Linked DNA regions of Anolis sagrei. The protein of the gene in region 1 interacts with the protein of each later gene in a pairwise test. Links are inferred from orthologs where the notes say so. Each region holds a gene or a part of one and is shown on either strand. Other genes may lie near its edges.

What was found.
Region 2: the proteins of CSDE1 (region 1) and HID1 interact in binary tests that used the Homo sapiens proteins (3 or more experiments, as listed by UniProt). The two-hybrid records come from large-scale screens. The link is inferred for Anolis sagrei from reciprocal best matches to the Homo sapiens genes CSDE1 and HID1.

What each region holds. Positions count from the first base shown.
Region 1 is NC_090024.1:203,342,455-203,350,412, forward strand, and holds the start of CSDE1 (cold shock domain-containing protein E1), read right to left. Parts: upstream 3,100-7,958; 5' UTR 2,991-3,099; intron 1-2,990. UniProt on the Homo sapiens protein: RNA-binding protein involved in translationally coupled mRNA turnover.
Region 2 is NC_090022.1:116,956,524-116,964,506, forward strand, and holds the start of HID1 (protein HID1), read right to left. Parts: upstream 3,080-7,983; 5' UTR 2,787-3,079; coding exon 2,721-2,786; intron 1-2,720. UniProt on the Homo sapiens protein: May play an important role in the development of cancers in a broad range of tissues.

The sequences.
Region 1 (7,958 bases):
TTGTTCTGCTTCATGTCTCACAATTTTTGTTTATGTCTGAAAATCTGGTTTAATAAATGGTAGCTACATAAAGAACGGAGGCATTGACACGATCCATGAACAATAGCATGGTATTTATATAGACACCTACTAAAGGTTTTTATCCAAATTAATTTGAATATAGGCTAGCACCCTAAAATTAGCTGAATGACATAGGTAATTACTATCAGGAGATATAGGGAATTAATAGCCAGAGATAACAATACATAACAAAAGTGGAGCTGGTAATAAAAATAATTTGGTATTTATTTTTTTGTAAGTCCAACTTCTCTGAACTGGAAATTTCTCTGAATAGTTTCTCAAAAGATCACACTAAAATATTCTAATAATGGACAAAATTTAGAACAACTGAATTCAGTCGAAGTTCCAGTATAAGTTATAAAACAGGGGTTTAATTCAAACAAGAATAATGGTTTAGTAAAAGACAGAAGTAGACTTCTTTGCCATTCTAGACCAAACAAGCAAATTAATTACAAATGGGCATGGGTCAAACCAGACAAATACAAGGCTCATCAACCAATGGTTTAAAATATATATTTTAGTATTTTAAGGAGCATACTGTATCCAAATAGTTGTACAAGGTGGGTCAAAGGTCACAAAGGTATCTGATGTTTACTTTATGAAAATGTTTTTAAGAGAATTTTTCACACAATGTAATTTATTTCCTATATGTATCAGAGCTTTCCAAACATTTAATATTTGTGATACATGTTCCAAACATGCATCATTTTGCAACACAATAATTCAGTTTTACTAGCAAACCAGATGTAAAACCAAGGGCCCTTCCAGGATCTGATCCTAAGTTTTCTGTTTATACCAGATTATCTGACAGTGCAGACTCATATAATCTAGAAAGCAAAAAATCTGGGATGTGATTCTGGAATATTGGGCCTGTCTGGAAGGGCCCCAAGAAATATAAAGACACACAAAAACTGGAATAACGAACCGTTATGGGGACATATCTTTAATTTGTATTTCTAAAATATATATGATTTATTGCTTATTTCACATAGACTCCAGAGGTTTCTCATTACATTCATGTGACATACTAACATGTCGCAACAGACAGTTTTGATATCTCTGCTGTATATGGTATTATAAATTAAAAATAAAACAAAAATGAAGGCATTGCTACATATTGAAACCCACATGTAACTTTTGGCACGTTCAATAGTGCAGGCATGTGCCAACTTGGGCCTTCCCTCCAGGTGTTTTGGACTTCAACTCCCACAATTCCTAACAGCCTCAGGCCCCTTCCTTAAGCTTAAGTGGCTGGGGGAGAGAAAAAGGCCTAAGGCTGTTAGGAATGTTGGGAGTTGACGTCCAAAACACCTGGAGGGAAAGCCCAAGTTGGCCCATGCCTGCTCTACAGAGTGGGGCAAAAGTTTCATATGGGTTTCAATATGTAGCAAAGCCTTCATTTTACTTTTGTTTTTAATTTATAGTAGCCTATACAGCAGGGATATCAAAACTCTGTTGCGACATGTTAGTATGTCACACAAATGTAATGAGAAACCTCTGGAGGGAAAGTCCAAGTTGGGTTGTTGTAGGTTTTTTCGGGCTATGTGACTATGTTCTAGAGGCATTCTCTCCTGACGTTTCGCCTGCATCTATGGCAAGCATCCTCAGAGGTAGTGAGGTCTGTTGGAGCTAGGAAAATGGGTTTATATATCTGTGGAATGACTAGGGTGGGACAAAGAACTCTTGTCTGTTGGAGCTAGGTGTGAATGTTTCAACTGACCACCTTGATTAGCATTTGATGGCCTGGTAGTGCCTGGGGCAATCTTTTGTCGAGAGGTGATTAGATGTCCTTTTTTGTTTCCTCTCTATTGTTTTGTTGTTGTAATTTTAGAGGTTTTTTTTTAATATTGGTAGCCCAAGTTGGCCCATGCCTGCAGTATGCATAAAAATATGACAATCCTGTTTAATTTACATTGTTTTACTTGTCACCAGTCTCAAGAAAGCCTTCTGCGATTTGAAAGGGCTACCGCCGGCTTCTCTGGAGGTTAAATCTAAAGGTTTCCAGTGACCAGAGTGGCCCTGTCTCCGTCTCTACTCGTTAGGCCTGGAGTGGCCATTTCGCCCCGCAAAATGCAGCATCACACTGTCAAGCGCCGAGGCACATGGTCCTTGGGCAGCAAGATGGTGGCTCCTGCTCCTGCTGAGGGGAAATCAGGGTGGGGGTCCGCATCGGAGGGAAAGGGACGCCGAAGCCCGGGCTCGGCGCGCAGGGACGCCACAACGCCGGCCTCCGGACGCCGTGTGAGGGGCTTGCAGGCGAAGGCGTTCCGGTTCTCCCTCACAAGGGCCTGGGGCGTGTCCCTCTCTGGCCAAGATTGGGGGGAGTGAGTAAAAAAAAAGGAAAATGGCGCCCGCTCCCCCTCACACAAAGGAAGATTGACCTGCTCTTCCCCTCCCTGCATTGGCCCGCTGCATGCCGGGAGAGAGAGTTCGCACCCCTCTCTCCGCACCGAGAGGCGGCGGGAGCCGGAACTCCATCCCCCAGCAGGCCAAGCGGCGAGGCCCCTGGCAGGCACACTCCGCCGCCGCTTTCAACACCACGGCGCCGCCAAACTCCATCCCCCATCGGCCCCCGCGGGAGGGGAGGGAGAGAGCAATGGGCAAAGACCCGCAGTGCACGCCGGGAAGTGTAGTGCTGCCAAGGCTCGGGCCCACTGCGAGCGCTTTCTCTCCCCGGCTGAGGCGAAGGGGAAAGAGGCAGCACTCCCAGCCCGCCGCGGCCTCCCTCTCCTCCTCTCTCCCTCCTTCTCGGGGCAAAAGGGAAGCGAGCGCGCACGCACGGCGGGAGGGGAAGGGGAGGGGGAGCAGCCCCTCCGGACCGTTGGCGCCCGGGACCGCCGTGACAGGAGGCCTACCCAGCTCCCCCGCCCTTTCCGGCCTCCCCCCGAAGCCAGGGAAGGCGCCCCCCGCCCTCGAGGAGCCCCGCTTACCCCAACAGCTCAGCGCCCCCGCTCCAGCGCCGCCATGAGCAGCACGGCACAGCACGTAGGAATAAATCCCGGCTTCTCGCGAGACTCGCGGGGCCGGGGAGGGAGGGGGAGAGAGAGAGAGAAAGAAGGGCGGGTGGGCGCATGCGCGGAAGAGCGGGGCGATTAAGAGGAGGGCAAGGCGCGGTGAGGCTTCGGTCGAGTAAGAAGGCAAGGCGCATGCGCACGCAGATTGGGCCAGAAAGGCGGGAGGGAGAGGTGCCAGGGAACGTGACATGAGTTGTGCCTCTTGAGCCGATGCCATATAACAGCGTTTCTCAACCTGGGAGTCGGGACGGGGGGGGGGGGGGGGGCATCAGAAAACACAGTATTTTCTATTGGTCGTGGGGATTCTCTGTGGGAAGTTTGGCCCAAAGAATGCTCTTCGATTGTAGGTGAACTATAAATCGCAGCAACTACAACTCCCAAATGTCAAGGTCCATTTCCCCCCAAACTCCACCAGGGTTCTCATTTGGGCATATTTAGTATTTGTGTCAAGTCTGGTGCATTGTTTGAGTCCACAGTGCTCTCTGGATGTAGGTGAACTACAACTCCAAAACTCAAGACCAATGTCTACCAAATCCGTTAAGTATTTTCTGTTGGTCATGGGAGTTCTGTGTGCCAAGTTTGGTTCAATTCCATCGCTGGTGGAATTCAGTATGTTCTTTGATTGTAGGTGAACTATAAATCCCAGGAACTACAACTTCCAAATGTCAAGCACTTTTTTATTCATTTATTTATTTATTGTGTCAGGGGCAACCAGACAGTTGTATTACATTTCTAACAGAACAAAACAAACAAACAGACAAAACACAAAATGTGCAAGCTTGGTAGGAATCCTCTCCATTGCTCTCTTGCTTCTTAAATCTCCTTTCCTTTCTCTATTCCCCTCCCCCCCCCCCCCCCCAAAAAAAAAATAAGGGAGGAAATGCTCTCTCCAAAACAGAGGAAGGGGAGAAAGAAAGGTAGATAGGAAAATGAGAGGGAAGGAAATCATGAAATGTGATATAATGGTTTGAACCTCAAGCTGTGGCTGTCAATCCGAGATCAGCCGTGTTTAGGGTACTGTATTTATTTCGTGTTAGGGCAGCCAGTCAATTATATTACATATTACATTTCTAACAGAACAAAGCAAACAAACAGACATAATACAAAATTTGCAAGCTTGGTAGTTTATTAAATGTCCTTTGACCAGTATCTGGCCACTTGGGGTGCCTCTGGTGTTGCCACAAGAAGATCCTCCATTGTGCATGTGGCAGGGCTCAGGTTGCATTGCAGCAGGTGGTCACTGGTTTGCTCTTCTCCACACTCGCATGTCGTGGATTCCCCTTTTTTTGCCCCGTTTCTTAAGGTTGGCTCTGCATCTCATGGTGCCAGAGCGCAGTCTGTTCAGCGCCTTCCAAGTCGCCCAGTCTTCTGTGTGCCCAGGAGGGAGTCTCTCAAAAAACCTCTAATATCAAGATCTACATAAATAAAAATTTAATGTTTGTTTTTGGGATTAAGATAACTCAAAAACCACTGGGTGAATTGACACCAAATTTGGACACAATACACCTATCACACCCAACAAGTGACCGTCACTCATAAAAACACTGGAAAACATAGCGGAAGAGACTTAAAAGCCAAAAAATAAAAATACATTATAATCTTCCTAAGATTTAGGTGGAATCTCTTTTCCTGTAATTTGAATCCATTGCTCCATGTAGCACCTCCAAAGTAGCAGAAAACAAACCTTCTCCCTCTTCCTTATGAAATCATTTGAAATATTGAAACATGGTGACCATGTCCCCTTTTAGCCTTCCTTTCTCCAAGCTTCCTTTCTCCTTTCACCCAGCTCCCTTGGCCACTCACAGGGCTTGGCTTCCAAATTTTGATTATTTTGGTTGCCTTCTCTGAACATGTTCCAGCTTGTCAATATCCTACTTGAATTAACAGTGTTATTTCAGGTGAGGTCTGGCCAACTATATGTTCAAATATATATGACCAAATATATATATTCAAAGCCTGCCCCATCTCAGCTATATGAAGGCCATCTCAATGCTCTAAGAATTGTGGCTGCATAACATATAGAGCTGCATCTAGTAACAAACAAGCCCAAATCTTACTCCAGACATGAATTAACCTTAGGTAAACTGTTGTCTTTTAATCTGCTTCCTCCAGACTGCAACATGGGCCTAATACCAGGCTACCTGGCAAATTGTAATTATGCATGTTGTTCATTCGTTCAGTCGTCTCCGACTCTTCGTGACCTCATGGACCAGCCCACGCCAGAGCTCCCTGTCGGCCGTCACCACCCCCAGCTCCCTCAAGGTCAGTCCAGTCACTTCAAGGATGCCATCCATCCATCTTGCCCTTGGTCGGCCCCTCTTCCTTTTGCCTTCCACTTTCCCCAGCATAATTGTCTTCTCTAGGCTTTCCTGTCTCCTCATGATGTGACCAAAGTACTTCAACTTTGTCTCTAGTATCTTTCCCTCCAGTGAGCAGTCGGGCTTTATTTCCTGGAGGATGGACTGGTTGGATCTTCTCGCAGTCCAAGGCACTCTCAGAACTTTCCTCCAGCACCACAGTTCAAAAGCATCGATCTTCCTTCGCTCAGCCTTCCCTAAGGTCCAGCTCTCACATCCGTAGGTGACTACAGGGAATACCATGGCTTTGACTAGGCGGATCTTTGTTGCCAGTGTGATGTCTCTACTCTTTACTATTTTATCGAGATTGGACATTGCTCTCCTCCCAAGAAGTAAGCGTCTTCTGATTTCCTGGCCACAGTCTGCATCTGCAGTAATCTTTGCACCTAGAAATACAAAGTCTGCCACAGCCTCCACGGTTTCTCCCTCTATTTTCCAGTTGTCAATCATTCTTGTTGCCATAATCTTGGTTTTTTTGACGTTTAGCTGCAACCCGGCTTTTGTGCTTTCTTCTTTCACCTTGATTAGAAGGCTCCTCAGCTCCTCCTCGCTTTCGGCCATCAGAGTAGTGTCATCTGCATATCTGAGGTTGTTAATGTTTCTTCCAGCAATTTTCACCCCAGCTTTGCATTCATCCAGCCCCGCACATCGCATGATGTGTTCTGCATACAAGTTAAAAAGGTTGGGTGAGAGGATGCAGCCTTGCCGTACGCCTTTCCCAATCTTGAACCAGTCTGTTGTTCCATGGTCAGTTCTTACTGTTGCTACTTGGTCCTTGTACAGATTCCTCAGGAGAGAGACAAGGTGGCTTGGGATGCCCATCCCACTAAGAACTTGCCACAATGTATTATGATCCACACAGTCAAAGGCTTTAGAATAGTCAATGAAGCAGAAGTAGATGTTTTTCTGAAACTCCCTGCCTTTCTCCATTATCCAGCGGATATTGGCAATTTGGTCTCTCGTTCCTCTGCCTTTTCTAAACCCAGCTTGAACATCTGGCAACTCTCGCTCCATGTATTGCTGGAGTCTTCCTTGCAGGATCTTGAGCATTACCTTGCTGGCATGAGAAATAAGGGCCACTGTACGGAAGTTTGAGCAGTCTTTCGCATTTCCCTTTTTTGGTATGCATATGAAATAATAAATGCTGCTATGTTATCTTAATTGGTTTATGTTTTAGAAGACTTCCATTCATTATGGTAGAACTACTGAATTAAATAGATCAATTGTCTGGTCCAGAGTAAGAAAGATCTATGGGTCTGTGCATAAAGGAACCTATCCAAATTTATTTCAGTCAAATTAAACATAACACACAAAAGTATTGAAAACATAAAACTGCTGTCAAGATGTCCAAATTATATAACCCTCTATCCCAGACTATTTCATGTCAAAAGCATTGCGTAAATAAAACAAGTATAAAACTGATAAAATAGAGGGAGCACAAGCAGCTACATAATTTTAGACCAAAAATGGGCAACAGCAACCACATTGTCTGCAGCTTTAAACAATTCTTCCTCTGTGCATGAGGCAGAGCATTGTGGGCAAGCATACAGATGCGGAGTTGTTTGTTCTGCCCCACAGTCACACAAGGTGGAGGATTCTTTTAGGTAGTGCCATTTTGTCAGGTTGTCTTTTGATCTGCCCACTTCACTTCTGTGTCTGTTCAGGGATTTCCACATTGCCCATTCTTGGTTTGCCCCCAACTAGAATAGATATATATTGTTCTATGAAATAATGAAAAGGCTGAAACTAGAAAGCATCTCCAGAAATATAACTCCTAAATAATTGTGACTCTTCAGTGTGGAGTGCTCCAAGGCTGTAGAACACTATCACTCAAACATTAAGCTTCAATAACTCCCAGGCGAGGAAATTAATCTACAGTCAGACTTACTGCATTGAGGCAATACCCATAATGACAGGAGATCAGGTGAGTGATTTGCCAGGTCAAGCAAGTTGTAACATCTCTATTAGGGCAGTGTGACAATGTGTGGCATTTAGGGAATGACATTACTGCCTTTTTCTTAAGACATGTACCCGGTAACATGGCTGAAGAAACCAGTTGGACATTTATCTTAGAACTGAACTGAAGGGGATTTCCTCTCCCCAGAATCGTAGAAAAAGCCACCGAGTAGGGCTTTTTGCTAAAACACTGATTTCCTGGAAACCATGCTGTGCCTCCTAGGCTTTGATGTCTTTTGTTGAAACACTGCTTTTTAAATCACTGGCAGGGCTCCTTTAATGCTGGAGTCAAACTAGAGTTACTCAAAATCACACACTGAAATTAGTTTGCTCAAAACAGACTTTGTTTTGAAATCAGGTTGATGAGAGCAGCCCCCAACATCTGGGGATGGGGACAGGAACAGTTTTTGTGTAAGAAGAATTTGAACTTGCTTCAGTCAATGATCACCAAATCTTAAGTCTGAGTGTGTGCATTCAGACAAACCCTTAACTGTCAACTACGTTGCACCAAACTATCGATATTGCATCTGAATCTGGCACATAGATTTCTGTGTCGGATTAATAAAAAGCA
Region 2 (7,983 bases), on another chromosome or scaffold:
ACTACCAATTATTATTTTAGACTTTTTCTGTTACGCTTCTAGACTTGTACATGAACCTGACTTAAGATTTAAGTGCAATCCAACTAAAAATAACACATTTGCAGAACTCCTCCAACAGCATTGCCATCCTTGTTTTTCAAACTTTCATGAAAGGATTACCATAGCTATCATGGAGAAGTACAAGTTTAAGTACCTCTTATTTGGAGTACTTAGGATCAGAAGTGTTTGGGTTTTTTTTAATTATTATTATTATTATTATTATTATTATTATTATGAATAGCTGTATTTCCATATACAGGCAGTCCCCGAGTTACAAACATCCAATTTGCAAACAATTCATAGTTAAGAATGGGGGCGAGACAACAGGAAGTCAAAGAAATCTATCTCTAGGAAGGGAAATTCACTCTTGAAAGAGTTACCATGAGAAAAATGTGTCTCCACTGAAGCTTTATCACCTATCCTTGCTTCCACAACAAGCCATATTTTTTTTCAAAATCCAGTTATCAGGGACAGAAAGTGAAGGGAAATCTTTTAAACAGGGGTACAGAAAAACAAACAGCTAAACAAACACCACAGGGTTGTTATCACTTCCCTATGCTATCCCTGGAGTTACACTTTAAAAATGTACCTATTCTGACTTACATACTGTATAAATTCAGCTTAAGAACAAACCTAGAGAACCTATCTTGTTCATATCTTGGGGACTGCCTGTATGTACACAATGAGACAGCTTGGAGATGGAATGCAACTGAAACACAAGATTGATTTGTTTAATATACACATTATACACATGCCGGAAGGTAATTTTAATAATTTGATGCATGAAACCGACTTTGTGTGCAGTACACTGAACCATCAGAAAACAAAGGTGTCTCTATCTCAGCCACCTATGTGACCAGTTTAGGATTTTGGAATATTTCAAAATTTCCAACAAGGGATGCTCAACCTGTATATAGTGAGGAATCAAATAGCCGATTCAACAAATTGGATAAACATCATAAAATATCCCTTACAGTGTGCTGATAGGAAAGGACTTGAGCCTTCAGTCTCACTTTTTTTTCCTCCTTCAGTGACGTCATTTGTGACAGGGCTGGTGTTTGCCATCAGGCATGATTACAACATATTACCTGAATGCATCCTTCCAACTTCCTCAGTCTTTCTCCCCATAGATAGCCTTCCCGCCATCGCCTGCTGAATAGCTCTGTCCATAAGGGTGCATATTCTACACTGTAGAACGAATGCAGCTGGACACCTCTTTAGCCACCATGGCTCAGTACTATGGCATGGAGATATGAGAGCCCCCAGGGGTGCAGCAGGTTAACCTGCTTAGCTGCTGAACTTGCTGACTGAAAGGTCAGCGGATCAAATCCGGGGAGCAGGCCAAGCTCCCGCTGTTGGCCCCAGCGTCTGCCAACCTAGCAGTTAGAAAACATGCAAATTCGAATAGATCAATAGGTACCGCTTCTGCAGGAAGGTAATGGTGCTCCATGCAGTCATGCCGTCTGGGTGCCCAACCACCGTCTCCCAAAGCAGTTGCTCCAAACTCAAGAATGGAAAACAGAATGTTGGTGGGCAGGAAAAGAGATTTAAAGATGGGCTCAAAGCCAACCTTAAAAACTGTGGCATAGACACCAAGAACTGGGAAGCCCTGACCCTTGAGCACTCCAGCTGGAGGTCAGCTGTGAGCAGCAGTGCTGTAGAATTTGAAGAGACACTAATAGAGGGAAAAAGAGAGAAAAATGCCAAAAGGAAGGCACATCAAGCTTACCGGGGCCACCTTATGCTCGGAAACTGATGCCCTCACTGCGGGAGAACATGCAGATCAAGAGTAGGGCTCCACAGTCACCTACGGACCCACCGCCAGGACACCAATCTTGGAAGACAATCCTACTCGGACAATGAGGGATCGCCTAAGTAAGTAAGCTGGCCACATGACCTTGGAGGTATCTATGGACAACGCCGGCTCTTTGGCTTAGAAATGGAGTTGAGCACCACCCCCAGAATTGGACACAACTAGACTTAATATCAAGGGGAAACCTTTATCACTACCTATGAGAGGACTTGTCACACATCTTTTTTCCTTCAATGACATCCTGGGATTCGCATTTGGGGAGGCACCAGAACTCTTGGGCAGGTAAGGCTAAAACCCTTGGGATTGAACAGAATTGAATGGTGGCAGTCAGAGCGGAGTCACACTGCATTCATCCCACAGTGTAGACCAGGCCTGGGCAAACTTCAAACCCTCCCTCCAGATGTTTTGGACTTCGATTCCCACCATTCTTAACAGCCTCAGGCCCTTTCCTTTTCCTCCTCAGCCGCTTAAGCGGCTGAGGGGGGAAAGGAAGGGGCCTGAGGCTGTTAAGAATGGTGGGAATCGAAGTCCAAAACACCTGGAGGGAGGGCTGAAGTTTGCCCAGGCCTAATGTAGATGCCTATCACGGCCTGAAGCTCCCAGAAGGCTCCCAAATCCCAGCAGGGCCTGAGGCTGGCCAGCCTTGAAAGGAAGGCCAGGGCAGCAGGCAGAGGGATCTGCTCAGTTGAGCTTTGGGGGCTGTGGATGTGGCCTAGGAGGGAGGCCAGAGCAGCTGTGAAGAAGGCAGGGCCTGAGGGGGAACAGAGGCCTCAAAAGAAGCACCTGCCTGGGTCCCACCGTTATTCCTGAGGAGGCCAGTCCCCTTTAAGATCCCCACGCCCTGAGCAGGTGCTCCCTTGAGCCATACCTGGGTCTTGGTGGTGAGCTGGATCACCGCCTTCCTGAAGTTGAGCTTCGAGTCCGCGTTCCCCATCCTCCTGGATCCGGGAAAGCAGCCGCCGCCTGGCCCTGCCCGCCTCTAATGGCCCTCCTCCTCCTTCCCCTCTCCTCCTCTCCACGTCGCGGCCTTGCCGGTCTCCATCCCTCACCTGCTCTGCCTCCCTCCCTCCTGTCAGATGCGTCTCCCGTCAGAGAGGCGGCTCGGCTCCTCCTCCTTCTCCTGTGTTCCCTCGCTTTTCTTTCCCTCAGGGCGGGCCGGGCCTCCTCCCTTCTCCTCCCCGCCAGAAGCAGCGGGAAACGCGGGGTCGCTCTGCCCGGCTCCCTCCATCCGCCTTCCTTCCTGCCTCCCTTCCCATTTCCCTCAGGAGAAAGGAGGTGGGCTGGCATCCCTTCTACCGCCATAGCTCAGGGCCTTTCCACACAGCCATGTCACTCACAATATCAAGACAGGAAAATCCCACCATATCTGCCCCTTCCACACAGCTGAATAAAATCCCACATTTTCTTTGAACTGGAATATATGCCTTTGTGGACTCAGGTAACCCAGTTCAAAGCAGATATTGTGGGACTTTCTGCCTTGATATTCTGGGTTATATGGCTGCGTGGAAGGGCCCTGGGTTATCTAAATCCACACTCAGATAATGTGGGATTTTCTGACTTGATATTCTGGGTTATAGGGCTGTGTGGAATAGAATCATAGAATCAAAGAGTTGGAAGAGACCTCATGGGCCATCCAGTCCAACCCTCTGTCAAGAAGCAGGAATATTGCATTCAAATCACCCCTGACAGATGGCCATCCAGCCTCTGTTTAAAGGCTTCCAAAGAAGGAGCCTCCACCACACTCCGGGTAGAGAGTTCCACTGCTGAACGGCTCCCACAGTCAGAAAGATCCCTGGGTCCACACTGCCATATATTCCAGTCCAAAGCAGATATTTTTATTTATTTTGTTTATTATTCAAATTTATATGCCGCCACTCCCCTGGGGCTCCGAGCGGCTTACAAGAACAGGCTAAAATTGAACACAATTTAAAACAATTTAAAAACAGCAATATCAAAGATCAAAGGCCTTGCGGGATTTCCTGCCTTGATAGTCTGGGGGTCCTTCCACACAGCCCTATATCCCAGAATATCAAAGCAGAAAATCCCACATTATCTGCTTTGAACTGGAATATATGGCAGTGTGAACTCAGATAATAACCCAGGGCCCTTCCACACAGCCATATAACCCACAATATCTGCTTTGAACTGGGTTATCTGAGTCCACACTGCCATATATTCCAGTCCAAAGCAGATATTGCAGGATTTCCTGCCTTGATAGTCTGGGCGTCCTTCCACACAGCTCTGTATCCCAGAATATCAAAGCAGAAAATCCCACATTATCTGCTTTGAACTGGAATATATGGCAATGTGGACTCAAATAATCCAGGGCCCTTCCACACCTTCATATAACCCAGAACATCAAGGCAGAACATCCCACCATATCTGCTTTGAACTAGGTTATCTGAATCCACACTCAGATAATGTGGGATTTTCTGCCTTGATATTCTGGGTTATATGGCTGTGTGGAAAGAGCCCTGGGTCCACACTGCTATATATTCCAGTCCGAAGCAGATATTGCAGGATTTCCTGCCTTGATAGTCTGGGGGTCCTTCCACACAGCTCTATATCCCAGAATATCAAAGCAGAAAATCCCACATTATCTATTTTGAACTAGAATATATGGCAATGTGAACTCAGATAACCCAGGGCCCTTCCACACAGTCATATAATGCAGAACATCAAGGCAAAATATCCCACCGTATCTGCTTTGAACTAGGTTCTCTGAATCCATACTCAGATAATGTGGGATTTTCTGCCTTGATATTCTGAGATATGGAGCTGTGTGGAAGGGCCCACAGATAACCCTGTTCAAAGCAGATATTGTGGGATTTCCTGCCTTGATATTCTGGGATATAGGACTGTGTGGAAAGGGCCCTGGGTCCACACTGCCATATATTCCAGTCCGAAGCAGGTATTGCAGGATTTCCTGCCTTGATCGTCGGGGGGGGGGGGGGGGGGGGGGTCCTTCCACACAGCTCTATGTCCCAGAATATCAAAGCAGAAAATCCCACATTATCTATTTTGAACTAGAATATATGGCAATGTGAACTCAGATAACCCAGGGCCCTTCCACACAGTCATATAACCCACAATATCTGCTTTGAACTGGGTTATTTGAGTCCACACTCAGGTAATATGGGATTTCCTGCCTTGATATTCTGGGATATAGAGCTGTGTGGAAGGGCCCTCAGAGGATATGATCTATTGTTTCATCTGCTTCCTTTCAGAGTCTACATTTGGGATCTGTCGCTGACTTTTCAATTCTGGCTTTGATGGCATTGGTACTAATGGCTTGTTCTTGGGCTGCCAGAATCAGGCCCTCCGTCTCCTTTTTCAAAGTTCCATTTGTGAGCCACAGCCATGTTTTTTCTTTGTCAATTTGGCTCTCAATTTTTCCCTGGAACTGTCCATGGAGAGCCTTCTTTTGCCAGTTTTCTCTTCTGCTCTGGATTGTGTTTTTACGGTATTCACTCTGTCTTTTGCACTTGAAGCAGTTTACTACTATTGACTTTCTTCAATGTTGGTTCTTGACTGCCTTTCATATAATCTGCCAGTGCATGTTTCTCTTCTTCTACCATTCGTTTCACTTGCAGAAGCCCTCTACCTCCTGATTTTCTGGGCAGGTAGAGTCTGTCGACATTACTTAGCGGGTGTAAAATATTTTTTTAAAGGAAGAAAAGAGATAAAAGGGAAAGAAGAAAAACAAGTCAAAGTTTACTTCCAATCTTCTCAGCTATTATATAAGCCTCCTCCTTCAATATTTTTATTATTATTAATTTTAGTACTGGTCATTAATAAAAGTACAATGAAAATAAGGAGCAAAAGAGATAATGAAAAAGAAAAAGAAAAAAGAAATCAAGTAAAGTTGACTTCTGACCTCAGCATTACACAAGCCTTCTATTGTTATTAATAAGCAAAAACCTTTTTTATTTAGACAGGCTTTTAAAGATGAAGGTTTTAAAGATCTAATCAGTGATGCTGTGGTTTTTCACTTTGAATATGTTTTAATGGATTTTAACTGAATTTTTAAATACTGTTTATATTTAATTCTGTTTCAATATTCACATTTGTATATTTTAAATTGTATGCTAATGCTTTTATGTAAAGCCGTTTTGAGTATCCTTCAGGAGAGATAAAGTGAGGTATAAATATTGTTATTATTATTATCATCATAAAAAATTATTACAAGTTATGAAAGTACAATAAAAAGTATTTTTAAAGAAGGAAAAGAAAAAGGAAAAGGCAGGGAAGAAGAAACAAATGTTCACTTTCAATCTTCTCATCAGTTGTAAAGCAAGCCCTCCACATCTGCTGGGGCAAGGGGCACAAGACCCTCTCAAAAGTGAAGAATAGCCAAAAGAGAACACTTCTCTATACATTTTTAAGTTCTCCAGAAGGACTCTGTGGTCAACCTCCACCTGAAACGCACTGGAGGACCTAAGGAATCCAATAATGTTGTTCTCTCTTGGAATCTCTAGGTCTTCCAGTGCAGTTCTGTAGTCAAATTCTACTGGATGTGTAGAGTTTCCTTGAAAGGGCATTTTAATCAAATCTGTGAATAAGCCACAAAAGTTAAGCCCACAAATGTGGAGGGCTGGCTGTATATGCAGTGAGTCATTGCCATACCTGAAAGTTTAGTTGCAGGACCGCCTTTGGATTATCAAAATCTGAAAGTGCTCATGTCCCATACTATACAATGGCATCCAGGTTGAGTATCTCTTATTCAAAATGCGCAGGGCCCAATGTATTCTAGATTTTGTAATATCTACATATGCATATATGAAGCTTCTTTCAAAAAGGTGCCAAATCCATCTGGACAAATTTTATAGGAACCGTGAAAAAACGGGCTGAGGATATGCATTCTTTTGCTATAAATTCAGTTTTCCAAGCACTGTACCAGAGTGATTTGATATATTTTGGTAGTTTTTATCTGTATATTGTATCCTACTCCTAACCAACAACATGCTGCTACCAATTTTCTTTTTTGGATGTAGTACCTTTTGGAAACAAACTCCACATAACAATTTATATCTTAGAATATAAATACAATATCCATTATGTTTTCATATACAGTTTATACACACAACCCAAAAGGAATTTTATACACAATATAAAATTTAATAAATTTGTGTATACTGAATCAACAGCAAAGGTGTCACTATCTCAGCCTCCCATGTGGACAATTTTGGAGTAACTGTTGATGGCCTAAAATCCCAGTCAGAAACTTCTAGTGAAAAAGAAAGAATAACAGAATAAAAATATTTTAATTAAATCATAACCAAACTTGTACACCATCCTTAAGCCATGCATAAATGGTTGTCTGCAAAATATATACCGTACAAAAATTATATATTTTCCACAAGTGCACACAAAGCATGCTCACTCTACAAAAGGTCCCAAGTTCCATCTCCACCATCTACAAGCAAGGGGCAGAAAAATATCAGTCTGAAAAGTACCTTGAAAACAGGCTCAGAACTTTATATAATCTCCTCCTGTTCTCTGTCAATGTGATTTCTTAAATTATGAACTAGCTTATTTTCATTCCTCCCTTCCTCAACATAGCATGTATGGTATTTACCCATCTCCTCACTTTCCAATGGGATAACACCTCAACATTCCTCTTCTATCTTAATATATTCTACTTGTCCTTTTATATTTACAAATGAGATTATTTTAAAAGTAGTTAAATAATAGATGGATTTCTTTCCCTTCTCCTTTAATGTATATATGTGTGTGAGTGAGTGCTGAGGGAATTTAAATCCATATTAGCGGCTTAGAAGTGTATAGAACTACAGACTATCAAAGAAGAAGCTTCACTGAATTCAATGGCACTAGAGACAGCATAAGACTGTACTGTTGAGAGTAATGTGTTAATTACTAATAGTAGTTTGTGGTCCAAGGGGACTCATCCTGAAATTTGGTGCACACTTCCCTGCTGTGATCTCAATCTGCTCAAGGCTCAAAGCCTGAATGTGATTTTCCTGCTTCTTGGCAGGGGGTTGGACTGGATAGCCCATGACATCTCTTCCAACTCTATGATTCTATTATTCTAAAGTTGCTCTACCAGTTGTGGAATATTGCATTTCCATTTTGTCTTCCTATATATCCTACTTTAAAAAGGTTTTAAATAA